2 linked regions of the Coturnix japonica genome follow. The protein of the gene in region 1 interacts with the protein of each later gene in a pairwise test. Links are inferred from orthologs where the notes say so. Each region holds a gene or a part of one and is shown in the gene's direction. Other genes may lie near its edges.

What was found. The genes of interacting proteins can lie anywhere in the genome.
Region 2: the proteins of SP4 (region 1) and POU2F1 interact in binary tests that used the Homo sapiens proteins (3 or more experiments, as listed by UniProt). The two-hybrid records come from large-scale screens. The link is inferred for Coturnix japonica from reciprocal best matches to the Homo sapiens genes SP4 and POU2F1.

What each region holds. Positions count from the first base shown.
Region 1 is NC_029517.1:27,985,748-27,990,220, forward strand, and holds the start of SP4 (transcription factor Sp4), read left to right. Parts: upstream 1-1,609; 5' UTR 1,610-1,863; coding exon 1,864-1,870; intron 1,871-2,486; coding exon 2,487-2,587; intron 2,588-3,052; coding exon 3,053-4,473. UniProt on the Homo sapiens protein: Binds to GT and GC boxes promoters elements. Probable transcriptional activator.
Region 2 is NC_029516.1:82,316,777-82,321,315, reverse strand, and holds the start of POU2F1 (POU domain, class 2, transcription factor 1), read left to right. Parts: upstream 1-1,533; 5' UTR 1,534-1,568; coding exon 1,569-1,632; intron 1,633-4,539. UniProt on the Homo sapiens protein: Transcription factor that binds to the octamer motif (5'-ATTTGCAT-3') and activates the promoters of the genes for some small nuclear RNAs (snRNA) and of genes such as those for histone H2B and immunoglobulins.

The sequences.
Region 1 (4,473 bases):
CTTCATCTGTCCCAACAGCAGATGGGACTCCTGTATCAACAAACACACATCATGAGTCCTAATCTCTTTAAATCAACTGGTAATGTCTGCTGACTTATGTGAGAATCCGCAGGGAGAAACAGGTATGAGGGGCGTGCAGGGTGAGCACTGGTTCATGTGGGATTAATGCCAATAGAGGCATCCTCAGGAGGCTTAGGTTTGGAAGGAGGAATTTGAACAAGTGTGACATTTGAATTTTGGGGAAGAGTAGGTGGTAAAGGAGTGTAACTGTGGATGATAAAGACATAAAAATCACGATGCCCCAACTGAAACCACCTACACCATCAGCACCATCTTTTATCACAGAATCACAGAATGATTGGTTGGAAGGGACCTCAAGGATCATGTAGTTCCAACCCCCCTGCCTAGCAGGGCCACCAAACATACACCTTTACTAGATCAGGTTGCCCAGGGCCCTGTCCAGCCTGGTCTTGAACACCTGCAAGGACGGGGCATCCACAACCTCCCTGGACAGCCTGTTCCAGGGACTAAACTCTTTTATCCTTCTCTTCAACCTCATACTGAGCTGAAACAGCGCTTTTACACCCTAAGGCCACCAGATTCAGAGAAACCCATCTCTCACTGAAACAAAGACGAGTTAAATTCTCTGCCCATTCCTCACTCAGCCTCCATTTCAGGAGGCACAGTGGCACACTGTGAAGTATTGCTATTAGCTCATCTGGGTGCAAATCATTCAGTGTTGGTAAGGTCATTTCCTGATGCATCAGTGTGTGATGTTACTGCACCCAGTTATCAGCTCGGCTCACAGACTTTAGTGGGGCCATCAGTTATCAGCTCGGCTCACAGACTGAAGTGGGGCCATCAATTCCTGGGCACCCATCATTTCTTCCACCACATCACAAAACAGCCCGTTGTTTCCCAACCATGGGAAAGCGGGGAATGCCATGGTGAACTGGGGATAACCCTACCGAGGAAAACAAAAACACAACCATCATTAAGCTTTTTATTGTGACTCCGATCAGCCCAACCCACCGCCCGGCCTAGTCCCCCATCGCAGCCATCAGCCCAGGAACACCTGCCGCTCTGCGCATGCGCCCCCACCACCCTGCGGCCCCTCAGCCCCTCGCCCAGGACTACATATCCCTGCGCCCCCCGCCGCAGCCGAACCAACGTGGAGGCGGCTCGTTCCCGCCCCCTCGCACCGGCTGCGGGCAATATCCCCGGCTCCCCCTTCCTTGATGGCTGGAGCGGCCCGGCAGCGAGCTCTGTGTGTGGCCCCGCCCCCCGGTGCCGCAGCCCCGCCTCCCTCCCGCCTCCCTACCCCCTACCCCCCCTCCATTCTCGCTGTCAAGCGCTGCACCGCGCAGCCCCGCCCCACAACGCGCGGCTCGGGGACGAGCGGGAGGAGGAGGAGGCCGAGGCCGAGGCCGCCCTTGTGCCGTCCTGCCGCCCGCCGGGCCCGGCTCGCGTCCCGCCCCCGCCCCGCCTCCTCAGCCTCCGGCGTGGGGAGCCGCGCTGAGGCGGAGAGAGAGAGCGCGAGGGGCGGCCGTGGGCTGGCGGCGGGGCTCGGTTTCCTCCTCAGTGGGCCCCGCCCCGCCGCCGCGCTCCCTCCCCCCGGCGGCGGCCGCCGGCCCGCGGCTGTCACTCAAAGCGGCGGGGCTGAGGCCGGCGGCGGCGGCGGGCGGAGAGAGAGGAGCTACGCCACAGCCCAGCGGCGGCCATTCGTGGAAAAATAGGCCGTCCCGCTCCTCCCCGCTCCGGCTGCGACCGGCCTTCTCCCCGCTACCCCCACCCCACCCTCCGCCTCCTCCTCCTCCTTCTCCTCCCCCCTAGAGCGGCGCCTCAGCGGGGCATTAATGCGGGATGAGCGGTATGTAACCCCCTCCCTCCTCCCTCCCGAGCACACCCCTCCCGCCCTCCCTCCGCTCCTCCCTCCACCCTCCGTCCCCTCCATCCCGCCCTCCCGCGTCCCCCCGTTTCTTCCCCGGGTCCCCCCCCCTCTCCCCCCGCCCTTCCTCCCGCGCCCCCTTTCTTCTCCTCCTCCCGCCGTGCCGCCCTCCTCCGTTCCCCCCTTTCTTCGCAGCCCTCCCTCCCGTGCGCATCCCTCCCTCCTTCATTTCTCTTTGCCTCCCTCCTTCCTTCCCATGCACAACCCTCCTCCTGCCCCCTGAAGCATCGACGGCCACTCAGTGGCCGATGCTTCAGGGGGCAGGAGGAGGAGGAGGGTTGTGGGTGGTTTTCTCCTGCTGTCTCCGGGAGAGGAAACCAAACCTCCCCTTTCTGGGTGTTAACTCTCCAGCCCCCATGGGTTGGGTTTCAAACCACGTTTCTTAGGACTCCGGTTCTTTTGTAATAATGGTTTGCGCCGTTGTTTTTACAGAGAGATACGGGCGAGAAGCTGGGAACCAAAAAGGATACGCTTGTAGGTTTTGTTATTGTATAAATGAAGGTGAATAATTAACCTGTTACACTTGATATTTTTGCAGATCAAAAGAAGGAGGAAACTATGCCCACAGAGGGAGAGAAATCTCCCGAGGCAGAGAATAACAACAATAATAATAAAAAAGGGAAAACTGGAGGCTCACAGGTAAAGCACGCACTCCCAAATTGGGAAGTGCGCAAACTATTAGCATTAAAAATGAAGTGTTCAGCTAACAGCATTCCCTGCTGAGGGCATCTTTCTTTGGATTGGGTGAAACCTAGTCGTTGGAGTGCAGTATTTTTACTGTCGGGACGTGCTTTTTGACTGTGTTATATGGTGATCGGCTGCTTTCCATGTAATAGAGGTCCTTGCAAAATTTGCCTTTATTTTAGGAAAAAAGTCTGGATTGAGCAAGTGGTTGAGGTCCTGGTTGTCACATACTCATTGATCACCACTGGCTTGTACGATTATCTATAGAAACATATACTTCCCTATTCAGAGCTGTATCGTTGGTCTCTATGCAGAAGCATGTTTTTGTCTGCTTCCTGTGTAAATCTTGATGCTTACTTCTGATGGTTAACGCTCATGCTCTTCTCCTGAATCCATTCTGTTTTTTCTCTCTCTGGATAGGATTCTCAGCCTTCACCTCTCGCTTTGCTAGCAGCCACTTGCAGCAAAATAGGAACTCCTGGTGAGAATCAAGCAACTGGACAGCAGCAGATTATTATAGATCCAAATCAAGGTTTGGTGCAGCTTCAAAATCAGCCACAACAGTTAGAATTAGTAACAACTCAGCTTGCTGGAAACTCTTGGCAGCTTGTTGCTGCATCTCCTTCTGCTTCAAAGGACAATAATGTTGCTCAACAGGGATCTTCCACTGCCTCGAGCGCACCAAGTCCCTCCAGCAGTAACAATGGAAGCTCATCTCCTACAAAAACCAAATCGGGCAATTCTTCTGCAACAACCCCTGGACAATTTCAGGTCATTCAAGTACAAAATCCAAGTGGTAGTGTCCAATATCAAGTGATACCACAGATTCAGACAACAGAAGGTCAACAAATTCAAATTAATCCTGCAAATGCTACTGGTCTACAAGATATACAGGGTCAAATTCAGCTTATTCCTGCGGGAAATAATCAAGCTATCCTCACGGCTTCAAATAGGACAGCTTCGGGGAATATTATTGCTCAAAACCTAGCAAATCAGACAGTCCCAGTCCAAATCAGGCCTGGTGTCTCCATACCACTGCAATTGCAAACCATTCCTGGTGCTCAGGCGCAGGTTGTGACAACTTTACCTATAAACATTGGTGGAGTAACCCTGGCGTTGCCTGTGATAAACAACATGGCAGCTGGAGGAGGGTCAGGTCAAGTTGGCCAGTCTACAGAGGGTGGAGTTTCCAATGGAAGTCAGCTCGCATCTACACCGGTTACTTCTGCCTCTGTTAGCTCAATGCCAGACTCTCCTTCTTCATCATCCACTTCTACAACTACTGCTTCAACATCTCTGACTAGCAGTGACACTTTAGTAAGCTCTGCAGAAACGGGCCAGTACACAAGCACAGCAGGCGGCAGTTCAGAGCAGCCAACGGAAGAATCTCAAACAACTGCGACAGACTCTGAAGCCCAAAGCTCCAGTCAGCTTCAGTCAAATGGATTACAGAATGTTCAGGATCAGTCAGGTTCCCTTCAGCAGGTACAGATTGTAGGTCAGCCTATTCTACAGCAGATACAGATTCAGCAGCCACAGCAGCAAATTATACAGGCCATTCCTCCGCAGTCATTTCAGCTCCAGTCAGGGCAAACTATACAGACCATTCAGCAGCAGTCTTTGCAGAATGTTCAGCTGCAGGCAGTAAGTCCAACTCAGGTGCTCATCCGGGCTCCAACTTTAACACCATCAGGGCAGATCAGTTGGCAGACTGTACAGGTTCAGAATCTGCAGAGCCTTTCAAACCTTCAAGTTCAGAACGCTGGGTTACCCCAGCAACTCACCATTACCCCTGTGTCTTCAAGTGGTGGTACAACCATTGCCCAAATTGCTCCAGTGGC
Region 2 (4,539 bases), on another chromosome or scaffold:
CTTTTGCTGTTTCACAGCACGGTCCATTTCAACTCCTGCTTTCAGCAACATCTGAGATGTTCTGCTATGATAGGAAAAAAAATGAATCAAACAAATCCCACGAAAACATTGCCAGATGAATTTATTTTTAAATAAAAATGCCAAGATTACCTCACTGATTGAGCCCTCGCAGAGAAACCCCGCTGCCTCCTTCTGACAGCCTGTCCTTTCTGGCTCTTCCCTACCAGTGAAAAAACCTAGCGACTGCCTCTGCTACAACTCGTAATTCCTCCAGCAACAGCCTGCGAGAATGGATTCTCGCCAGTCTCTTTTATTCCACCAGGTTTTGAGCCCCAGAAGAAAATTCAGTTTGGACTCTGACCCATCGAAGTTAATGACCCTCGGAAAACGTTAAGGGCAAGTCCTTAACAAACACCATAGCACCTTCTGGTTCCTCTTTTTATGAGCGCGCGTTGCAGAGCTTAGCAATAACACCTATTTATGCAGCATTAAAGTGAAGAATTTTAGCAAATGCTGCCTTCGCTCTGCCAAATTTGTGAAGGAGGAGGCAAAGTTCAATCACTCAGCCCGCAAATCGCTCGCAGTGATTTGGAAGTTCCGAATCAAAGGCTGGTTTGATCTGTGTGTTTCTCTAGGCTCACGTTATGTACTCTAAACCCTTCATTGAGGGGGCCACGAGGTCTGACTTTCTTCTCCCTTCAGTTTGGTGGCAGTGGATGCAGAACGCAGAGGTGGATTTGTGACACCTCAGGAGCACTGTGGTACCCAGGGTGTATGCAGTGTGTGCACTGGATGCAGAAGGCAGAGGTAGATTTGTGAGACACCTCAGCAGCACTGTGGTACCCAGGGTGTGTGACGAGGGGAAAGGTTTCCTCAGAATTGCTCTTTTCTGAAGGAGGCACAGACCTCCTCTGCACAAAGCAGCCTGATCTGTTATTTCCTTCCCTTTGTATTCAATTCCTTTTTTATTCGTAGGGGATTAATATTGCGGTGAGCTCGGGCAGCACCTGTCTCCCAGGCAGCCTTGGCCACGGGTGTTTTCACACAGCCGCTCACAAAAACACAACTCCTTCCTCCCCACAGGAGGAACCCGGCACTATCGGTCTCCACCACGACTGACCGTTACCCCCACTCCCTCACAGCACGGCTAACCGACACCTGGGCTCCCCATTCCCCACCCTACGCCATTTACACCCTCCCCCCGCCTTCCTCACTGCGCAAGCGCCCCTTCGCTCCCAGCACAACGGACCGGAGAGCGTCTACATGTGTGTGCGTGTGTGTGTGTGAGCCGGGGGGGGGGGGGCAACTAACGCCATCGCCCGTCCGCGCTCACGTTAACGAGGCCTCGGCCAGAGGTGAAGAGATCGCAGCCCGGCGCCTGCGCGCTGCAGCCCGCCTCGCTGTGTGTGAGGGACCCGCGCATGCGCAGAGCGGGGCCGCGGCGCGGTTCGTTGGCGCATGCGCAGTGTGGACGCGGGGGGAGGGGTCGCCCGGCGGGGGGGGCGGGGGGGGGGGCCGGGAGCGGGGGAGGGTTTATCGGGCGGCCGATTTTGGTTAAAATATTCAAAATGGCGGACGGAGGAGCAGCGAGTCAAGATGAGAGTTCGGCGGCGGCGGTGGCGGCAGCGGCAGGTAATCATTACTGCATTTTACATATTCATATTCATACTCGCACACTCGGCCCCCCCGCCGCCCGCCCGCCCCGCTTAGCATAATTTATTAGTACTCAGGATTATTATAATTAACGGCGCAGGAGGGAGCGGGGGGGGGAAGCAGGCAGGCAGCCTCCCCGTGCGGGGACACACACACGCGCGCTCCGTTCCTCAGCCGCCCGCCCGCTCCTTCGCGCGGGGCCGCACTCGGGGCCGCCCGCAGCCGGGGCAGCGCCGGGGGGCGGCGGGGTCCGGGGGGGAAGAACGGCCGGGAGAAGGGGGGGCTCGGCGTGTCGGCGGCAGGGGGGGGCTGCGGGGTCGGGGGGAGGCGGTCGAGCGGGGCGGGGGGGCCGGGGCAGGAGCCGCTCGGTGGGGCTGGGGGTGGGAGAGGGGCCGGCGTTTGCCGCCCACCCTCCTCCTTCCCCCCCCTTCCCCTCCCGCTCCCAGCCGGGGTTATTTCCCCCGGAGCCCGCGGGCACGGGGTGGATGGGTGCGGATGGCCTCCGGGAGGGAGGGGGAAGAGAGGGGGGAGGGCGGGAGCGCGGCGTGGCTTTATCTATAAAGCCCCCCCCCTCCCGCGAGGTGTGGGGGTCAGCGCTCTTCTGGGCCGGGGGGTTTCTCCTTCCCTCCCCCCCCTTTCTCGCTTACCCCCCTCACCCCATAGCAGGGCAGCCCCCCGGGTGCGGCCCCGCCGCCCCCTTCCCCTGGCCCCGTGCGGGGGGCGCAGCGCGGTGCCGGCAGCGCGGGGTGCGGGCCCGGCTCCCTCTCCCCCTCCTCTCCCTTCTCCTTCTCATTTGAATAATGTCTAATTCGGGGAGGTTTATATTATTGAAATGGCCGCCCGGCTTTCCCCGCCTCTCATGTTTAGTAATTCAGACCTTTAATAACAGCCACTCAGAGCCCAACGCCGTGTTTATATTTTACATTCGCCCCATGTGCTTTTGTGGTTCAATGTGATTCTTCTTTCTCGCTCTCTCTCGCTTTTTAAAAAATTTCTTGGCAACCCACAGGGCCCCGAGATCAAACCCAGGCGGTGTGAGGAGAGGAGGGGGAGCTGGGCCCTGCCTGCTCTGGCAGCGCCTAGGCCTCACTCTGCTGCTTGATTTATTTACTAATAACCAAAATGACCCCCTCCCCCCCCCTCCCACCCCCCCATCTCCACTCCACCCCTGCCAGCAAAAACAAAACCCTCCTGGGGCCTGAGCAGCATCAGATCTGCTCGTAGATTCTCAAACACTCATGTCTTTTAAATAAGGAGCTTATTTTTAATTTATAGCAACTCAGGACTGTAAAGCTGCGCCTTTCATATTTGCTTTGCTGAGGCTTGGGCATTTTTGGTCCCTTTGTCCTTGCTTCTATTCCTTAAAGGAGAGTTGCACCTAATTTACGTTTCCTGGCACTGAGAGAGCTGCAGAAGACACACTCAAAATCCAAACAGCCCTCCTCTTCCCTCTGAGCACAAACAGCATTGAATACATTGAGGATAATCTTATTCTCTTTCTTTTTGCTTGGTGTGGATGCACTTTAGCAGTGCTGCGTGTCAGATGCTTTTGTCGCTGCTTGTATCTGACTATTCTGGTTGGCTGTGGGTTTTTTTTCTTTTTTTCTTTTCCCATTTAGATTTGGCTTTCAAGAAAAGCAAAAGATGCCACTAGGCAGCGCAGGGCCTAGGAAAGAAGATAAGTTTGCAGGGATTGTGCTGTAAGACCACCAAGTGGAAATTGAAATTAATCCTCTTAAATGGTCTGCAGTAATTCAGCGTTACACCAGATATGGGGCTACTTAGAAAGCAAACAAATGGACTGCTTTATTACAAAGAGGCGGCAACTTTAAATATATATATATATATATATATTCATGTATGCGGGCACGGGTCTCGATAAAGCTGTCTAGGTTTTCATTAGTGACCATTGTTTTCAGCCCGTGGAGAAAAGGAGCCAGCAGCAGGGCTCTTCCCAGTAACTGCACCCATTAGCATGTAAACATCTCTGAAACGCAGTGAGAAGAGAGTTCCTATGTGAGCACTGGTCAGTCTGTTTTGCACTTGGCTTCTACGTTGAATTTCTCTCCAAACACCACGCTGCAGCCTCATGAAAAGCCTTTGGGTTTCAGAAAGAACGGCTCCGGTTATTTATCCTTTTTGCTTCACCCTTGGCGAAGGCAGGCCTTGAATACTAGAGGAAAAAAAAAAAGAGAATCAGTGGAAGCTGTAATGAGACTGTTGAGGTGACTGACTGTTTCACAGCCCAACAGCACCAGGGCTGGCTGGACAAAAAGCCGTAATATGATTTCATGCCTTAAATAGCATATGTTTTTGCACTCGCTTCGCGAGATGTGGTCAAGCCGATGATGTCATTGGCCAGAGGACAAGGTGCAGTTAATTTGATTTATTGACCTGGGGTGAGGTGTAGCACTGAAACCTTCTCATAGGGAAACCATTTATCTGAGGACAATTTCCTTTATAGCAGCAATTTAACCACTGCTGAGACTGTAGATATTTTATCCGGGATGATAAAAATGTACATTGCGTCTTGCAAACAAAATTTCTTTGTCCCTGACGTTTTAGTAATTTTTATAGGACGGAACGCCGGACAGTGGCCTTGTGCAGCCTTACGGCTCAGCTGGGGTTTGTGGCTCCGTGTGCAGTTATTTACATGACAAAATACAAACGCGTTTCTCTCAAACATTTTCTGAGCCTGTGTTGTAGCTCAGAATTGTGCTGGAATATCCAGCTCGATGCAGATAGAAACGTCTTTGGCAATGAAGCCTGCAGCAGTGTGGTGTGTGAGTGGAAAGTCCCCTTTCTGATACCCTGGCCTCATCTTTGCTTTTTGAAAGGTGTTAGGACTAATGCTGGGGGTATTATTTCCCAGTCCTGAGCAAGGAT